Linked DNA regions of Schizosaccharomyces pombe. Changing the gene in region 1 together with any one later gene gives a genetic interaction. Each region holds a gene or a part of one and is shown in the gene's direction. Other genes may lie near its edges.

Region 1 (3,782 bases):
CCATTGTAAGATAAAGAGTCAGAACTTTTTCAAGATCAAGATCCTATATCCATAAAAGAAACCAAAACTAATTCCAGCTGTAATCAATAATGATCGTTGGGTTTGATAATTAACAAGAAATCATTAACATTAGATGTTTAAGCGTTGTACATATTCATATCCGGGCCATGAGACAGTAGAAAACCAAAGAAAGCACAAAAGCAAGTTAATCTTGAACTTTTATAACAGGATGGCTTTCTTTTTGCCATTGTTTGCGCTTGTATTTTTGGGATTCATTAGCTGATGGGCTTTTCACTATTACCACCAGTTTCGTTCCTTAGCATCTGCCACCTCCACTATATTGTTTATTTTGAAATATTATATTTTGAGGCGTGTTCTCAAATTATTTAGACCAGAAAATTTTTAACTTCAACCAAAGTTATTAATTTGCTTGAAAAGATTGTTCTACCACCCAACTTACATCAAATAACGAAAAACTGAGATTGACTTCTGGTGAAATATCTTGTTTCAGAAACATCAAATAAGGCTGGTCTTCGTATTTTAGAAACATAATTGAGGTGCTACCAATACTTTTTGACTGTAGGTTAGCTGCAATCAGGCTTTTCATTCATTGACTAAATTTATTCCTTGGTTTACGAGTCCAAAAATTTAGTCGCAACTTTAAATTTCTCTTTTTTCCCTTTCAAGATGCACATTAACGAAGAAACAGATTGGATCGATTTGGTCAAACCAGCGTTAGCAAAGAAGCCCAAAAAGATCGTTGACAATTCTGACAAGTTCCCTACGCCTCGAGGATTTCAACAGAAGTCGTTGGTTTCCAAAAACATTCATTCAGGAAATTCAGCTTCCTCAACTTCCATATTTGCTAAACGAGAGGAAGAATTACAAAAGGATCTCTTACTAAAGAAAGCATGGGAGCTTGCATATTCCCCCCTTAAACAAATTCCTATGAACGCTATTTTAGCATACATGTCTGGTAATTCACTACAAATTTTCAGTATTATGACGACTCTTATGTTGCTTGTAAATCCACTGAAAGCAATAACATCTACAGGATCTGCCTTCACCCCATTTAAAGGCACCCACCCAGGAACCCTTTGGCCCGCTATGGGTGCTTATATTTTATTCCAATTATTGCTTATGGGGATTGGAGTCTATAAGCTGCAAAGAATGGGATTATTGCCAACGACTACCAGCGATTGGCTTGCCTGGGAAGTCTCGAAGGTCTTTATGGATCGATCTTATGGTCCTAGTAAAACTGTTTTGTAAGAATTTCATTTACTCCAAAATTTTAAAGATATACGAGTGAAATCGTTAAATTATAGTACCTCCTAATGCCATTGCTTCTAGCTGACCTAGAAAATAATAAATTCATATAAAGAAGGAATGCTTGGAGTTCGGAAACATATTGTCTTCTGGATTAATAATTTATCCTCCATTATGCGGCATTAAACGTTCAATGCCTTTAATCGATATCATGCACGCCATAAACGAACCTCGAAAATACTTGATTATCCAGTTCTTTTTACCCATCCATAGTTTTCGAGAGCATGAAATTTTTGATAGAATACTTTCTTTTACGTCTTGATTATACTGAATATAGAAATATCAAATATTCTTCTTTGTTTTAACTATTATCAATAATGTCTTAGTATATTGAGTTAAAGAATTAGTGCTTTTAGTATAAATTTAATCTCACTCCAATATTGTTTTCTTCACCCTAGTGTAATAGCTGAGCTTAATTTTCAGGCACTTCACTGAGCGCCTGCTTCACATATTATCTACACTTACAACCGGTTTTGGCGATAAAGCCATTACACTTGGAAATTTTTACTGTTTGAAAAAAAAATCTATTAAATCTATAAAAGTAATCGTATGGAGAAGGAATTAGAGGAATACAAGAGCCAGCTTGCTCTCGTTCAAATTTCTCTTCAGAAGACTCCCCAAAACGAGGAATTACAGTTACTGGAAAATGATTTAAAGGAATTAATTAGCCTTACTGAAAACTTACTACAAGAAAGTGTAGAAAATGATAAAAATACGTTTCAAAATTCCCAAAATGGTGTTGCAGGTTTCAATACTTCAAAGCCAGTACATATCGACTTTACGCCTGGAAATTTAGTAATGGCCCGATGGGTTTCAGGAGATTATTTATTTTATCCTTCACGTATTACTGCTGTTTCAGGCTTCGGTGCAAACAAAAAGTACACAGTACAATTTCTTGACTATCCTGACATTGAAACTGTTTCCCTCAAACATATTAAGGCCATGCCTGAGGAAAAACGTCAGGAAATAGAAGGAAATAAAGAAATTCTCAAAAAATCTACCACTATACGTAGTACACCTGTTAGAGAGCCTACAAAAGCAATATCTGTAGCATCTATGTCTACAAGTCCTTCCAATTATGCGTCTCGTGCCTCTTCTCCAGATATGAAGAGTTCGGCGGCTGTAACGGCTAACGTATCTCCGATCCAAAATGTCGCTCAGCATGTTTCAACCCTACCAAAGATCTCTCCCATTCCTCCCTCTAACCCTCCACCTGTTCCTAGTGTTTCATACTCCCAAAAGCAGCAAAAACAACTAAAACCTAAAGCAGCACTTGAAGCATCACAAAATTCTTGGAAACAGTTTGCTGCTCGAGGTGTAAAAACTGGACGCGTTGGCAAACGAAAGAAGATTGGAGAATCTAGTATATTTAAAAGCACTGAAGATTTTCCTGGAAGGACAAACCCTAAAAATTTTGGAAATGTTGCGAGGTCTGGGCATCGCGAAAAGCACATCTATAATTATAGAGAAGACGAAGATAGCTGAGCAATGTGTCTTCATTTGAAACTTGGTATTTAATTAATAGGCTTTTAACAGCCGCTGTTTATGTTTTCATTTATATATTTTTTGGTGCAATAAGCATAAATAAGCTTTTTACAGATCTTTAACCTAATTTCTGATGAAGCTGTCCTGGTTTTCCATATTTAACAAATTGTTCGTCGCATTGTCTACAGCTATAAAACAATTCTTTTGTTGTTGTTGGTGTATACATTAGAGAGGAATGAGTAATTAGAAAAGAATTATTACCTTTCGCATCTTAAGAATTTAACAGCCATAGACTACTTTTTTATATTCACATCTGCATACGGTTTTATGAATAGCATCATTACTATTTTCTGATGCGAAATAGTCATTTCGTTCTTAAACAATAGATCCATTTCCCGTGACATTTGCTAATTGTATTCCACCAAAATTTGACTTCTTAGTTTACAATAGTTGGTGAAAGTAAATCGGTGGTGGTACTATCTTGTCTCGCCATGCTCTTTTAAATAACGGCAACTTATGTTTTTAATAGCATTGTTACATGATAAACTGAAATATTCTATTTGTCATTCGTATTCTATAAGAGGTATATAAAGCCGTATATGTTGAGGGATCATCCACAGACAGCAATGAAAACTAGCTCCTCTAATATACTAGTATTACAAAAAATCTAATTGTATGAAAGAAATCGGTAAGCATACAAAGGGCGGATAGATTTAATTTTGTTTTAATGGAAACATGTAACACTTATCATAAAATGTAGATACTATGCTAATTGAAATTTATAATGCAATTTATGTATGACCAAGTGATATTCCCTTAAATAAAGCTTAGATATAACACATTCTCGTCAGCAAAGCCAAATGCCAACGGAAACTAGATAAGAATAGTAACAAGGATATGAGGAAGTTAAATAAGGTGGATATAGAATATAATGAAACATAACTTGAAGTATTCATTTAAAAGACCTGATG
Region 2 (4,167 bases), on another chromosome or scaffold:
GCTCCTGCTCTTTCTAATTGAGTAACGAGGAAACGAAGCCAAATGGATACGGTTAAAGACGACAAAGATCGAAGATGCAGGAAAGAAATAAGAGCGATAAACGGTAAGGTAATAATAATTGGAGAGAAAATAATAAATAAATTAAATGACCTGAGGAGAATATTAAAAAATTGTTTTATTTTTCCAAAAATAGAACGAGGTCGATTGCTTCTCTCTTCTAATTCAAGTTCGTCAAAGGAGAAAATATTATTCTTTCGATTTTTGACTCTGTATAAAATCCATAATCCTCCGACCGTAAAAGGGAGGACAAGAAATGTAATCCTTAGTATCCTCCATTGCTTCTGGTCTTCACTTTTTTGTCGGGTTGTAAACTTTCTTGCAAATATAGGTTTGGGGAATAAAGATATATGCTTCAATCGATTAACCAGTACGTGCTTTTTTTTGTATGGTGACCAAACTGACTGTGTCCCGCATAACCTTTTCCATCTTGTGTTCTGCGAGTTAACGACAGGAATATAATTTCTTTGAATAATGAAAGCAAAACGAGAGTTTGCAGAAGGAATCATGCTTAGACTAAGTCCCGAACGTATGTGAGAATTCCAGTGAGAAAAACTAATCATGTTCACCAATTATTGACTTTCAGAAGAGCATTTCCTTATCAAGAATCAAAAAAATAAATAAACTAATTACAATGGGTATTTTCGATTGAAAACACTGGCAAACCTGATAAAGAAAATAGGAATTGTTCAATAAATGTGTATAGCAGCTACTAAAAGAGGTGTTTCAAAGAATTTAGGAAACCCTGTCAACCTTTAATATCTTGAAAATAAAGAATGCACCAGTTCAAAAATATTGCTCAAATTTACGTGTCACTAGTGTCTATTGGTGTCAACGTCGAATGACGCTGTCTACTTGTGACTGGGAGAAAGAAAAATAATAATTGTTAGCCAAAATGAAGACTGTAATAATAATCAATTCTTTCATTTTATAAATAAAATATTGACTAATTAATGCTCAGTTCCTATTTGGATTCTATAGAATTGAACTTACAGTATGATAAACTGGATATGATCATCTAGTACGTGAAGAAACATTTTTTTATTCATTATTACCAATAAAATGTAATTTATCAAAATTTCAAAGTTCTAATTGAAGGGAAGATTATTAAAATATAAAAAATGACTGATTATAGGAATCACATTTTTTTTCCTTATACACCTATAATCGGTAATATTCAAATAAGTTAAATAATCAGTTCATGGTAGTATTCTGCTGCCAAAGAGAGATAATTGTAAAATCGCTAGCAGTTGATAAAATAAAGTATAAATTGAAATTAAAATGGAATTGTTTGTACTGAATTAAAAAGCTTTACCATCATTACTTCAATTGCCGTTAACTCAGAGACTAGCATAGAGTTTATCTATAGAGACTCTTTGATTGATTTAATAAAAAGCCTTTGATCGACGATGGTTCATTCGCCAAGTTTCATTGATGAGTAACAGTTGACTGAGAATATTTCACCTAACCCATTCTTGATAAAAGTATAAATTGGAAGTGCTAATTTAGAACAAATTATTAAGTTCTTGGCTCAAAATTTTGAGATGTCCCTACAGGATGTGTAAAAGTTGAGTATGAATATTATTACTGATGCCCAGCTATCAAATGTCATCCTCTCCCCAACACTACCAATTCATTCGAAAACATACATATTGAATGAAAACACACGAAAATCAACGATACTGTTTTTTAGATTCTGACATTTGTAAATTACGAGAGGGTATTTTGAACGAAGTTGAAGAATTAATTCAGGATGACCGAAAATTTGCAGTCGGAATCAATTCCCCATGAAATACTCCCTAAGGAGCCTTTTGATTTACCAATGAACAACTTAAAAAGCTCTCCTAAAAATAAAGATTCAGAGAAACGAATAAATAATTCGATCGCTGAAAGTGAGCAGGTTGTTGATTCGGCTCTATCTAATCCAGAGACCAATGCTAATGAGGATATTATCGCACCTCAATTGCCTTCTCAAAATTCTGAAATCATTGAAAAAAACTCGCCAGTGAACAAACTGAACAGTTCCACGTCCCTCACAACTCATCAGTTAGCGTCACTTCCTAAATTAGAGGTAACAGATCATGATAATGTATCTGAGGCAGAAACTGTAGTCTTAAATGAAGATGAAGAGAAAGAAACATCTTTAGTTGGTTCGGTATCAGTCACTGAGGACTTAGGTGACTCAAGTGCAATTGGCAGAACCATACTGGTAAACAACTCTGTGGAACCTCAGATGGAAAACACAGCAAATATAACCATTGTTAGTCCTTCATTGAAGGAATCTGACTTTGAGTCTGAAGAAAAAGCTACCAATGACAACAATGGACTCATAGAGACTAACCACAACTCGAAACTTGAGGAGTCTTCTGAGCATGAGGAGGAAGAAGACGAAGAGTCGAATATTGAAAGAACCGAAGATTCTGACCACCAGATACCACAAAGAGGTGGAACTTTAGAAGCACCCAGAAAAGGTGGTCCTCGAAGTGGCGTTGGAAGTCGAAAGCGTAAACGTGCAACAGTTTCTCGAAAATGGTCTACTAACAGTGAGAGCAAAATAAAAAGGGTAGCTCTTGAGACCAGCCAAGAGGAATCCGATCGTGAGATTGCAGATCGTCGTTCCGCATCTGAACAGGCTCATGAAGCTGACGATGAAAAGGCTATAAAACGGAAAGAAGCGTTTGATGCTTTGCTAAATATAGAAACGGAGTTTACTTTTTTACGAAACCGTTTATATGGGAAGAAACTGTTAAAGCTGAACGAGCATGAGGAAATGATACAAAACGAAACCCATGAGCGTTTTAATGCCTGCATTGATCTTATAACAGAGCGGCGAGATGATCGTGTGCGTTTAGCTACTGAAAACCTCATGAAACAACTTGGGAATATAAAAAACGTAATGGACTATGTAACGAAACAGAGGAAGTATCAGTTACTGTTTGATAAAAGAAGAATACGACAAGCGCTTCTAACCAAAATTGCAACGAAGTGCTTTCAGCTTTTAAACAAACAAAAATCTGTTCACGATCCCACATATATTACTCAAAAAACCATGTCATATCGCCAAAGTGCCTTGTTACAGAAGCAACGAATTGAATATGAAGCTGCAGTTTTGTGTGAGCTTAATAGTTTTGCTGGGTTTCCGACAGCACCTATTATCGAAACAGCTTCTTTTGATGACATCCGCAACGACCTTTTAGAAATGGGATGCCTCAGTGAAAATCAAGACTAATTTCAAGCATCCTCATTCCCCGCGATAATTCCTAATTTCCTTCACGTTTTACTTCAATTTTGACACACAATTTCCTTTTTGGTACGGTGTCAAGAGTGTTTTTTTTTTTTCAGAGCCTAGTTAAAACTCTTGCCTTTCGTTATCTATTCTAATGTATTTTCTTTTTTTTTTTTTTTTTTTCTAAGCGATAATATAACACATTCGCTCTTCGTTTGTTTCATTTTCTTTAGAATTTACATATTCGGTTAATATTTTTAATTCAGTATTTGTTTCTGACTTAACTAATGAATTAATTTTACAGCGATTCTTTAAGTTTGTAACAGCTATCCGTCTTACTCATTTTGCCTTATAATAAATTTGCTTATGAACAATTAAGTATGTTTAAATTTGATAATAATCATGTGCTTCGCAATCAAAACTAGTTAAGCAAAGTATCCTACTTATCGTTCGATAAAGCTGACTTGTTGACGCATTCAATGGTGTGGCACTTAGCGCCGTAAACAAGTCCTATGTACATTTGAAGGATTTTAATTTAACTGATTTAATAAAAAAAAAAGATTTAGTTTGTTCAAATAAGTAAAGTAATACTCCTTTCACTTAGACTCAATCCGTTTGATGATAAAAAGGTGCGTTATACGGAAATGAAGTTTCCTCTTCTCATAATCGTTTTCTTTTTATATTGAATAATTTTGTTAAATGTATAAATGGAATAAAAAGATTTTCTTTTTCAACAAAACATTCCTCTATTCGCAATTGCATTGCTAACTTTCACCAAGTCGGATGCCAACTGCCTTTTACCTAATTTCAGTGTCAAAGAGCCAACAAACATGTTAGAAGGCCTAGTTGCCGGTATGAATTATACCTTTTTTTGAAAGACATTG
Region 3 (6,933 bases), 760 kb from region 1:
TTGCATGATTTCATTTCCTGACAAATTATTGATTGTGAAAGCGCGCCCTGTCTCTAAGAAATATGTTTGCTGCTTTGCTTGTCAACTTTGTACGGTATAGTGCATTTTCCTATCACTACAAAGGGTTTAAATACAATTTATAATTATAAACTTTTGCAGTGTTGAAAACAGCAGTTCTTAGACTGATCACCAAAAACATCTATTGGAATTAGAAACCTTGGATAGTAATTTTAAACGAATCGATTCGTGCCTTTTTTTGGTTTATTTTTAATTTATACAACTTTTTTCAATGTTTATTATATAGTGCACGGCGTAATAATACGTATTGTGATTAAAACCAATACATCCTTATCCGACAGTGAAATAAGACGTCGCGTCTACTCAATGCGAACCTGCGCATAACGACAGGCACTATGATCTTTTGCATTAATTCCTCTACTTGTAGGATGAGGACATTTTCAACTATTTTAGGAAGAAAATGAAATTGATATCATCGATCATTTTCGCGCATCTAAAAGGAATGAAAGCCAAAAACTTGCTGGCACGGAATTACGGTTATAATGATGTTCAATTTGACCAGATCAGGTTTTTGCAGGAATTAAATTTTCCTTACTTTCAAAATAGTGATTTTTGTAAATCATTTTATTCCTCTTCACTTCTCTCATTCTGTTCTTCTATCCAGCTCAGTCATCTTAAGACATTGTTTACCAAATAGTGAAGTTTACTGTGTAGTAAGCAAGGATTCGAAAATCACTCTCATTATCGCTATAGTAATGAGTTCGAAAGTTTATCAACCTCTGTGTACGGCCTGGATTACAGGCGAAATTGGGTAGAGAAAAATTTCAATAAACAATGTTGCAGTTTTGCAATCCGCTTTGATTAAAAAATTCAAATTTCAGTTTCCAAGTAGATTAGATAATTCGACAATTTTCTTGTTCTTACTCGAAATGTTAACTACAAACATTGCAAGCTGCCTATGGTCCAGTCCATACTTCCATCGTCCATTCCCTTTCACACTTTATACTTGTCTGCACTAGTCTCAACTCTATGCTGCGTTCCTCTTTTCCCTAGCATTGCATCAAGCTCGGATTATTTTTACAACCTTTCTAAGTCTACGTCTACGTCTACATCTGTATCCATATCTCAATTTACGTCGTCCTTCGCCGCCCGTCATATTACTCTGCTCCATCATCTCGTCCCTTCCCTTCCCTTTCCGCTTTAACCCTAACCAGGAAAATTGTGAAACCGATGGATCGCTCGTCGCTGTGTACTTTGATGTGATTTCATAAACCACCAAACCCTTCCACCGGATCTGTTAAAACCGGTCAAAACACAGTAGAAATGCTGTTGACTTGCTATAAGAAAAAGTGAAAAGGCAAACCACTGGAGAAACGAATCCTCAAGAAAACTAGGTATAAGCATAATTTAATGGAATAAGCATATTTCTTGGGTACCACTTGTCCATCATTTTCATCTATTTATTGTTACTTTTGGATCCGGGTCGTTGGACATGGCAAGATCGCCGTAACCAGATTAGGAATAGAGTTATTCGCTACTCATAGCTCGGCGATAAAGCAAAAGAGAAGAGAAAATGCTGGAGCTAACACACAGGATGCAAATAACAAGAGCAGATATCGTTGCGAGGCAAGTCATGGGAAGTCATCTTGGATGATGTGCAAGTCTCCGATAATAGACCCACTTCATTAGAAAAGCTCATTTTTTGACCCTTCTAGATGAGATAGCTTTAGCATTCATATTACTTATTTTTTTGGTTTCATCTTTTTTTTTGTTTTATCTTATCCTCTTTACCATCCTTCCCTCCCTCCCTCCTTCTCTTTCCTTTTTCTACACACTCGGCTGCGTTACTGTACCCTATGTGTCTCCGACGATCCTACGCAATTGCTACTTTAATGAGCTCGCTTGTGATTCGCTTTTCCTGAATTGCAAATTTTTCCTGCTTCTCCCTTTCCCATCTTTGCGTGCAATGACATCATAATGCTGTCCAATATATAAGAAAGCTACATCTATTTTGAGCCACCTGCAGATAACCAACGTGTTGAATTTTTATACATTCAACCACCAATTCTTGTCCTATTTCACCAGTAGAAAGATATATCGAAATTCTCCCCCCTAGTTTTGAGATTTTCTTTTTCTCTTAAACCTCTACTGGTGAAGAAAAAAATTGTACTTTCTTCACATTCTTAGCTCTGTGTTCTTGGCGCTTTATTTGTGATATTCAGTACGGTTTATTTGTTTATATCTCGCATTTCATTCCAACTTTAAACATCTAAAACGTTCGACTCTCATTCCTTTTTATTTTTTTGTCTTTTCCCGGTCGTTGTTGATTTTTTTCGGTTTTGTTGAGTGAATTGGAATCGCGGCTTCAATAAAAGATAATCATCACTTTTCAGCTTGTTTTCAGTACTCTTTGTGAAATTTCTTTGTAGTACTTTTCAACGCTTTTTTTTTCCTTTTATATTTTTTTCTATATCTAAACTCAACTCTAAAGACCGGTTTGCGGCGTTTTGCTTCTTGTGCTAACAATTTTACATTTAAACAACTTGATCTTTTTCAAACATTCTCTTTCTACAATCTTTACTCATCTTGTCTTATACACACTGTTGGTTGCATACTGAATGGTTGATAGGTTGTTTCATTAGTTCTGTTTCATCTGTTGCCATTGTTAATCTTATACTAAATTTGTCCAAGCAATAAAAAATAAAAGTATTTTTTACAGTTCTTTGTTGTTGGGGTCTTTTTGCGGTTTTACTTTCAAAAATTTTTTCCTTAGAGTTAAATTGTTTATCTCACGATTGATTATTTGACCTCATTTGTCAACCACATCCCCATTCCAAGCTATCTATTTTAAACATTTAGAATCTCTTTTTTTTTTAGGTACCCAAGTTATCGACTTTTTTGTTTTTCCTCTCATTTTTAGTTCCTTCCTTGTACTTGTGTTTAATCATTACTCATCCTTGGATTTCTGCATTTTATTGACGTTTGGTCAAGTTTTCTATTTATTCCCTCTTGTGTATTTTTTCTTTTCCTCTGGACGATAGTTTCTTCTCATTCCTTTCATCATATTCCCTATTCCTGGTAACTCAAATCAATTCATCCTTGTCTGTTTTTCTTTTCCCTTTTTCATTTAAACCTTTTCAGACAGTTTCTTATTTTTTAAATTCTTCATACTTACGGTTTTCGCTCGCTCCTTTAATCATGTCTTCTCCTACTTCTCCTACTTCTAGTCCTGGTCGCCATCATTGGTCAAACTCGAAAGACGGTATGCCGCCAGAGTATACTAATCAGGATCCCAATTCTGATCAAGCTGATAACGAAAACTCTGATGCCAAGGCTCACCAACCTCAGCATTCTCCCCAGCATTCTACAGAAAATCAAGGTCATACTGGGACTAGTGATACTTCGTCCCTGGAAATGGAACTATCAAAGTTGCACCCAGAATCCAAACAAAGGCAGTTGCCGCACTCTCCTGAACATGAGCGATCTCGATCGCCTATTGCTTCTGTCGTCTCATATCGCTCGCACATGACTTTGGAAGATGAAAATCAGATTTTTAATGCCGAAATGGCTGTCCGTGGTTCTCAGTCTTTGCAAAGACGTCCTACCGGCCGAAGTGTTCGCGGATCTATGCGACGCCTTTCTTCCCATCGTTCTAAATCCATGCGTACCTCCAAGTCTAAAAAGTCGGGCGATTATGAACGTACTGCGGAGAATGAAGAAGCCGCTCAAGAGGCTGAGAATCATTTAGACAACTTTGGTGTAGTGACGTTTGGTACTGAAGCTCCTATTAAGGCTCCGGACCATCCTGTAACTATTTTTGGTCGCATATTCAAATTTATTCAACAGCGAAGCTTTTACCTTCGTTCGCTCATTTACATTATTCCTCTCGGGGTTTTACTCTTGATTCCAGTATTCATTGGTCGCTTTTATCACCCACAACCTCCTTACCGTGATGAACTAGGTCATGAATATGAGCGCCATTTACACGTTGGAGGTGTTGATTTGATGTGGATGGCCATCTGGTGGGAAATTATATGGCTCTCTATATGGGCTGCTCGCTATGCTGCCAAAGTAATTCCTTATTTCTTTGCCTTCTTCGTCTCCTTCATCAGTAACAACGTTACTAAATGGAGATGCATGGCAGTTGCCCTTGAGTTTCCTATTACATTGTTCCTTTGGATGTTAGCTGTATATGTCAGTTTCCTTCCCATTATGACCCGCCGTCATATTGGTGATTATGGTGTACCTGATCATGTACGCGTAAAACTCCCTTGGCAACAGAGCGCCAACAATGTACTTATCACTTTATTCATCACCTCAATTATGAATTTGGTGGAGAAAGTACTTATGCAGTTGATCGCCATGTCGCTTCACCGTCGTGAATATGAATCTAGAATCCTTTACAATAAGTTTGCTATTAATGAACTCGCCCGTTTGTATGGATATGCGCGACAGCGTTCTTTTGATTTCAAAGATGCTATCCATCGTGCTCAAGCAGATGTTTTTAAGTTTGCTGATCACCAACATGGCAAGAAGCGCGCAGCAGCTGCTCGGGTTGCTCAGAATGCATTGAATAAAACCACTTACAAAGCTATCTCTGCATTCAACTTCGCTACGGATATGGTTAACAAAGTGGCTGGTGAGATTACTAATCGTGAGGTCGAAAAATCTTCTTCTCCTAAAAGTGTTGTGCTACACTTGTTAAAGACCACACGCGGTTGTCAATCTCTAGCTCGTTGCTTATTTGAGGCATTGGTGAATCCTGAGAATCCCGATTTAGTACTGGATGATTTTATTCCCGTATACACCGATGAAACTGGTGAAGTGGATAATGCCACCTTAGAGGCATGTTATTCTATTTTTGATCGTGATCTAAATGGTGATATCACCTGTGAAGAAATTGAACTCGCATGTGTGGAAATTGGAAAAGAGCGTAAGAGCATTTCTGCTTCACTTCGTGACTTGAACGATTCCATTTCTAAGCTTGATGGTATTTGCATGTTTATAGTGGCTGTCATTACTCTTTTTATTTTCTTATACTTGATTGCCCGTAACTTTAGCGGTGTACTTACCTCTGCTGGAACTACTTTGCTAGGTTTGTCTTGGCTGTTCTCCGGCTCCGCACAGGAATTACTTAGTTCTATTATATTCGTATTTGTGAAACATCCTTACGATGTGGGCGATCGTGTCGATGTCATGATCAATGGCACAGTCACTTCAGCGATGGTCAAGGAAATTTCCATCATGTCTACCGAGTTTCGTCTATTGACTGGAAAAGTCATTCAAGCTCCAAACAGTTTGCTGAACACCCTTTGGATTTTGAACATGCGTCGTAGTGATGGCATTGCTGACCCAGTCACCGTTAACCTGAAGTTTGGAACTACTCTTCAGCAAATTGAACAACTGCGAATCAAAATTATTGATTTTTTGAAAGAAGAGAAGCGTGATTATAAACCTGACTTACTAACTGAAGTTACGGATTTACCGGATCTCTATTCCATGTCTTTGTGTGTTGTATTCTTTCATAAATATAACTTTCAAGACGAGGTTTTACGTATGCGTCGAAGAAATATGTTTATGTGTGCATTGATGACTTATATGCAGGAATTGGATATTGTATCTCCTATTTTCAACAGCCCTGGTAAATCAAAGGATTCACCTATGTATGTCAACTTCAACAATGGTTCAATGGAGGGTGTTAAGTTATCTGGTGGTAATGATGGTGGTGGTACTGAAAATCATCGCGACAGCACTGTTGGCGGAGGAATTCTGAAGAACCCAAAAGCATATCCTTACCGCGAACCTACTCCTCCTGGTAGTTCAGATTCCGATACCGCTAGTGTTTCTAAAAAGCGTGTTGACTTTTCCCTTGGAACACGGCATCTGATGCCTGCTTTTGATGATGTTGCTGATATTGGAAGTAAAAGGCTTGGTCGTGATAGTCTTCCCGATGCTGTCATTGAAAACGCTGGCACAGAGGCCATGCGACGCGAAGCTGAGGAACGTCGCCGAGCCGAAGAGGAAGAGTACGAACGTTCTCAACAAGAATCTAGTTCGAATGAAGAAAACGAAAATGCATCGCGTACGTCAGGTGCTCGTTTTAGCTTTTCCTCTAAAGCTAGTCGTTTGTCGGCTAGACCCAGTGCTCGTACAGTTCCTCCGTTGCAGCATATATCAATTCAAGACTTACGTGAGCCAAACGAAAATAATACTTCTAAGTCTGCTCGACTTTAAATACCCATAACACTTTGCAAACTTGCATCGCTCATGCTAGTTTTACTTACTTCATTCGTTGAAAGTGGCTATTTACCATTTTGGGCACTATTTGTTTCTTTTTTTTAGTTTTTATTTATTATTCTATGAAATGTTTAAACGTATATTGTATCTCAACAGCAAATTTTTGTATTAATATTAGCTATGCCTTGTAAAGTTTCGTAAAAGTTATGCAAATGATTTACGAATAATCTTAAACTAAAACTAGTATAATGCTTTTTTCACGTAAACAATGACTCACCGTCGTAAATTTAGACGTTTCAAGTGCGAATGAACGTTAATAATTGTTCAAAGGTTTCGTTTTTATAATAATTATTTCGTTTTCATAATCGTAATTTTTCACGAAAAAGTGTTTGTGTTTTAGAATGCCAACGAAATTCTCGTAGCGAAACTTCGAGTTTGTTTTAAACATTCAGGAAACAAATAATGATTAAAAAACAAAAAAAAAAAAAACGGAAGGTAAATTTCTATAACTAAGCAAAGATAACTGCAACGATGCGTACTGTTATTAGCAATTATTTTTCGTAGGTGAAGAAGGTAAATTGGAAATTTGAATGCGAGTTTCAACGGCCAAATCATCAGCTTGGTTTTGTGCCTCCATGTCCGGACACATTGAAAACTTGTCATCAGCAGGACTGCATG
Region 4 (3,921 bases), on another chromosome or scaffold:
TCATGCTTCTAGGGGAATTCTCACATATGTCAGAGTCAATGAAGGGACTTTAAGCCGAGGAATGATGATGTTTAATCCAAGAACTAAAAAGTCAGAAAGAGCAATTCGTTTATACAATGTATTCGCTGACCAGACTCAAGAAGTTGATTGCATTTCCGCTGGAAACATAGGAGTGATTAGTGGGATTAAACAATTTCATACCGGAGATATCATTATTAATAAAGAGAACTCAAAAAATTTTCATGAGTACCTTTCTGGAAATCAAAGTGTTATCAGTATTCCTGAACCTGTTTGCATTGCTTCTATAGAACCTTATTCGCTAAAAGATGAACCCGCACTTTTAGAAGCATTGGCTAACATGAATCGTGAAGATCCTTCATTTAGATATACCCAAGATTTAGAGAATGGACAACTATTGATACAAGGGATGGGCATTATGCATTTACAAGTTTCTTATGAAAGACTGGTGTCTGAATTTGGAGCTCGAGCATCTTTAGGAAAAGTTCAAGTTGGTTATCGTGAAACTTTGATTGATGTAAGCTTTAATTCAGTTACCTTAAGCACAGAAAATAAAGAGAATCTCATTATTAATGTTTACTTAATCCCTATTTCTGATGAAGGAGATGAAACCTTGAAAAAATATTTTTCTGAAGGTGAGATCCAAAAAGTTCGAAGTAAAGGGCAAGAAGATGGAGTTTTGTTTTATGGCTGGAAGCCGGAAAACTCGTGTACTTTACCGGATCATCTCTCTTTCCAACGTATTCAAGAAAACATCTACTTTGGAATAGTTGCAGGTCTATCGCATGGGCCTTTACATGGGTTTCCTCTCACGAATTTGCAGTCATTTTGTACCATTTCTTCTTTTCTATCTAATGACTTTCCGTTGTCACTTTTGACACAAGCATCGATGAAAGCTACCAAAAATGCAGTATTTTCATTATACAAGAGAAGTCCCAAAAGTTTCAGAATATTAGAACCTTATATGGATGTTACAATTACAACTCCTGAAGAATATGTTGGTATTGTTTCTAAAGATCTTGTAGGCAAGCGGGGAGCCACGATCAAAGAAATTACAGAGATTGGAAAGAATGCTGCTTCGAAAGACTCGCAGATAGCGATAGGAATATTAGGTGAAAGATATCTACCAGCTGATGAACCTAGTTCTGTTAAAGCAAACAATGCTTCTTCTCTACTACAGAGTTCATCTGTCATTAAATGTATTCGTGCTCAGGTGCCTTTGGAGCAGATTCTCGACTACAACAGTGTTATAAGCTCTTTAACAAAAGGTAATGCAAAATTTCTTATGTCTCATCCTATGGAATCTCAAACTCCCAAGCTGGTCAATTACGGTTCTTCCTTTCATCCTATGTCTATGCAGAGACAAAAACGAATATTTCCTTAAGGTCAGAAATGTGGGTTAATGGGTAAAATAAATACATAGAAAAAAAGATATAATTCTATTTTTCTATAAAAATCATCCTTATCATTAAAAAGCTGTATGTTTGACATTCTTTTTCTATACGTTTCGGTGTATGCATACACACACGTCTGCAACGGAGTTGTGTACATGTTGTCCCCAACGTCAGATGGAACCTACCGTTAGCATATATCGACTATAATTACTACAAAACGCCTAGACGAATTTAATGATGTCCGCTGAGGAAACTGTAACCCAAAACGCTCCTAATACTGTTCAAGATCAAGTTGAAGCATCTGTAGATGCTGCTGTACATGCATCTGCAGAACAATCTAACACACCTGCTCAACAAGCGGACGACTTTCGTGTTTTTGTAGGGCGTTTAAGTACGTCTACCAAAAAGAGTGAAATCCGTTCATTGTTTGAAACGGTTGGTACTGTGTATGTAAACTATTACTGGTTTTAGCAATTTCGAGTTAGAACAAAATTTTCTTATGTTTAAGCGCTAAAGCTAAAGCTCTCTCTATTAAAATCAGTGCATAATTTGGAGTTGTTGAAAATTTACTTTTTAGAAGTCATACTTTATATTTTTCACAAAAACGATTTTAAAACGGAGCTATGCGAGCTTATATTTACTCGAAACTATCTGTGCTACTTTAATTATATTTGATCATCTACTAATGCTTTTTAGTCGTAAAGTAACTATTCCTTTTCGTCGTGTTCGCCGTGGTACCCGTCTCGTACCTTCTGGCATTGCTTTTGTTACATTCAACAATCAGGAGGATGTTGACAAAGCTATAGAGACATTGAATGGTAAAACATTGGATGATCGCGAGATTGTTGTTCAAAAAGCTCGTCCTGTCCAAGAGCAACCTATAAAAGATAGGAAAAAGGTAAGTATACTTTAGTTCGCAAAGCTTTTATCAATATCATTCTGACACATTAGTCAAAAAATAAAAATGGTGAAGAACCTGAAACTTCAACTTCTGTCGAAAATGCTGAATCTGCTAAGGGCTCCAGTGATGAAAATGAAGCTAATACCGCAACAGCTCCTTCAAGTAATGAAGCAAATGGTGTCGATAAGAAACAAAATGAGATCAAAGGAAAGGGTGGGTCTGGTAAAAACAAGGCTAAGCCTTTGCCTCCCAACTCTATTTATGTTTCAGGCCTCTCCGTTACTTTAACAAATGAAGGCCTTAAAGAAATGTTCGATGCTTACAATCCTACTCGTGCTCGTATTGCTGTTCGTTCCCTTCCTCCTTATATTATTCGCCGTATAAAATTACGTGGTGAGCAACGTCGTGGTCGTGGTTTTGGATTTGTGTCTTTTGCTAATGCTGAGGATCAATCCAGAGCTATTGAGGAAATGAATGGAAAGCAAGTAGGTGACCTTACTTTGGTTGTTAAAAGTGCTGTCTTCCGTGAAGATAAGCAAAATGATGAAAATGAAAAAAATGAAAACGAACCTATTGAGGCTTCAGAATCTGCTCCCACTAACGTGTCTGATTCTACTGAGCCCAAAGCATCTGAGGTTGACTCAGAAGAAAAATCAGGCGTTACTGCTAGTGCTATAACTGCCTAAAAGTTAAAATATGATTTGTGATTATTCCTGGCTCTTCGTTCCTTTTATAATGAGCCTCGCCATTATACTTATATATGTCCCGAATACCCTCATGTTTCCGCACGTCACGTTCTCTCCCTTAGCATGGAACCCATGCATGTTCCTGGTAAAAAGTTGCAGCTTTGTAGACTAGACTATATTCATTGCTTGGAGTTCTGTGCCTTATATATTTTCCGTTTGTATCAAAAATACATTCGGGCCTATTGTTAAAAATAGTTTTGCATCTTTGTACATTTGAAACGTTAAAGTGCTTCAAGTAAAAATATACATTTTCTTCCAAAATTGTGAACGTTGTAATAATTGATTCACGCAAAATATAAGTAACTAGTTAAACGAATGTTATAGGCTTCTTAAGATTTAGAATCTATTGTGCTGCAATGTCTAAAACACAGGTGAGTATTAAATAACTTAAGTGCTTTGAGTCACATAAAAAGAGTCAGAGGATGCATTGTGAAGCATAGTTATTCAAAGAGAGCAGAAGTCTTTAATAACTTTAGCAATATAATAGAAATCTGATTCTTCTAAATACACCGCACCGCTAAGTCTAGTGTAAAATTTTCCTTTAAATTCCATAAATCGAAGGAATGTATTATATTTAGGCCAAAATACTTTCTGTGTTTCTATGGAGGGAATGTTGCGTAAGGGAACTTCGACGTTTACCATTGCAACTGGGTATGGAGGTTTGATAAAGGAAGTGCCCAGTTCTTTAGAAATAATTTCGGCTCCCTTTAAAGCTATTTCATGACAATATTGTTGAATCTTTTCTTCCCCTCCAATGGATTTTCGAAACTTAATAGCCTCACCAACAGCTATAAACTTAGGTAAATCTTGCTTGAAAGAATTGACAAACCGATTGGTAAGAGTATCTACGGCAATTGATTCC

What was found.
Region 2: mutations in spf30 (region 1) and dep1 together harm fitness more than expected from each alone (negative genetic interaction), as found in Schizosaccharomyces pombe (one large-scale study listed by BioGRID).
Region 3: mutations in spf30 (region 1) and msy1 together harm fitness more than expected from each alone (negative genetic interaction), as found in Schizosaccharomyces pombe (one large-scale study listed by BioGRID).
Region 4: mutations in spf30 (region 1) and tcg1 together harm fitness more than expected from each alone (negative genetic interaction), as found in Schizosaccharomyces pombe (one large-scale study listed by BioGRID).

The regions. Positions count from the first base shown.
Region 1 is NC_003421.2:1,381,519-1,385,300, reverse strand, and holds spf30 (splicing factor Spf30), read left to right. Parts: upstream 1-1,756; 5' UTR 1,757-1,875; coding exon 1,876-2,811; 3' UTR 2,812-3,246; downstream 3,247-3,782. Other genes in the region: chaperone EMC4, read left to right, coding at 688-1,269. UniProt on the Schizosaccharomyces pombe protein: Involved in spliceosome assembly.
Region 2 is NC_003423.3:3,798,650-3,802,816, reverse strand, and holds dep1 (Rpd3L histone deacetylase complex subunit, Sds3-like family protein Dep1), read left to right. Parts: upstream 1-1,667; 5' UTR 1,668-1,810; coding exon 1,811-3,286; 3' UTR 3,287-3,632; downstream 3,633-4,167. Other genes in the region: cqd1 (ABC1 kinase family protein ), read right to left, coding at 1-620; vps1301 (lipid transfer protein), read left to right, coding at 4,114-4,135. UniProt on the Schizosaccharomyces pombe protein: Component of the RPD3C(L) histone deacetylase complex (HDAC) responsible for the deacetylation of lysine residues on the N-terminal part of the core histones (H2A, H2B, H3 and H4).
Region 3 is NC_003421.2:616,808-623,740, forward strand, and holds msy1 (MS ion channel protein 1), read left to right. Parts: upstream 1-2,040; 5' UTR 2,041-3,216; coding exon 3,217-6,252; 3' UTR 6,253-6,415; downstream 6,416-6,933. Other genes in the region: transporter mug73, read right to left, coding at 6,800-6,933.
Region 4 is NC_003423.3:213,498-217,418, forward strand, and holds tcg1 (single-stranded telomeric-binding protein Tgc1), read left to right. Parts: upstream 1-1,601; 5' UTR 1,602-1,646; coding exon 1,647-1,858; intron 1,859-2,024; exon of another isoform or gene 2,025-2,108; coding exon 2,109-2,310; exon of another isoform or gene 2,311-2,363; coding exon 2,364-2,999; 3' UTR 3,000-3,404; downstream 3,405-3,921. Other genes in the region: mef2 (mitochondrial translation elongation factor G), read left to right, coding at 1-1,402; ergothioneine biosynthesis methyltransferase Egt2, read right to left, coding at 3,504-3,921. UniProt on the Schizosaccharomyces pombe protein: Binds single-stranded telomeric sequences of the type (TG[1-3])n in vitro. Has a role in meiosis.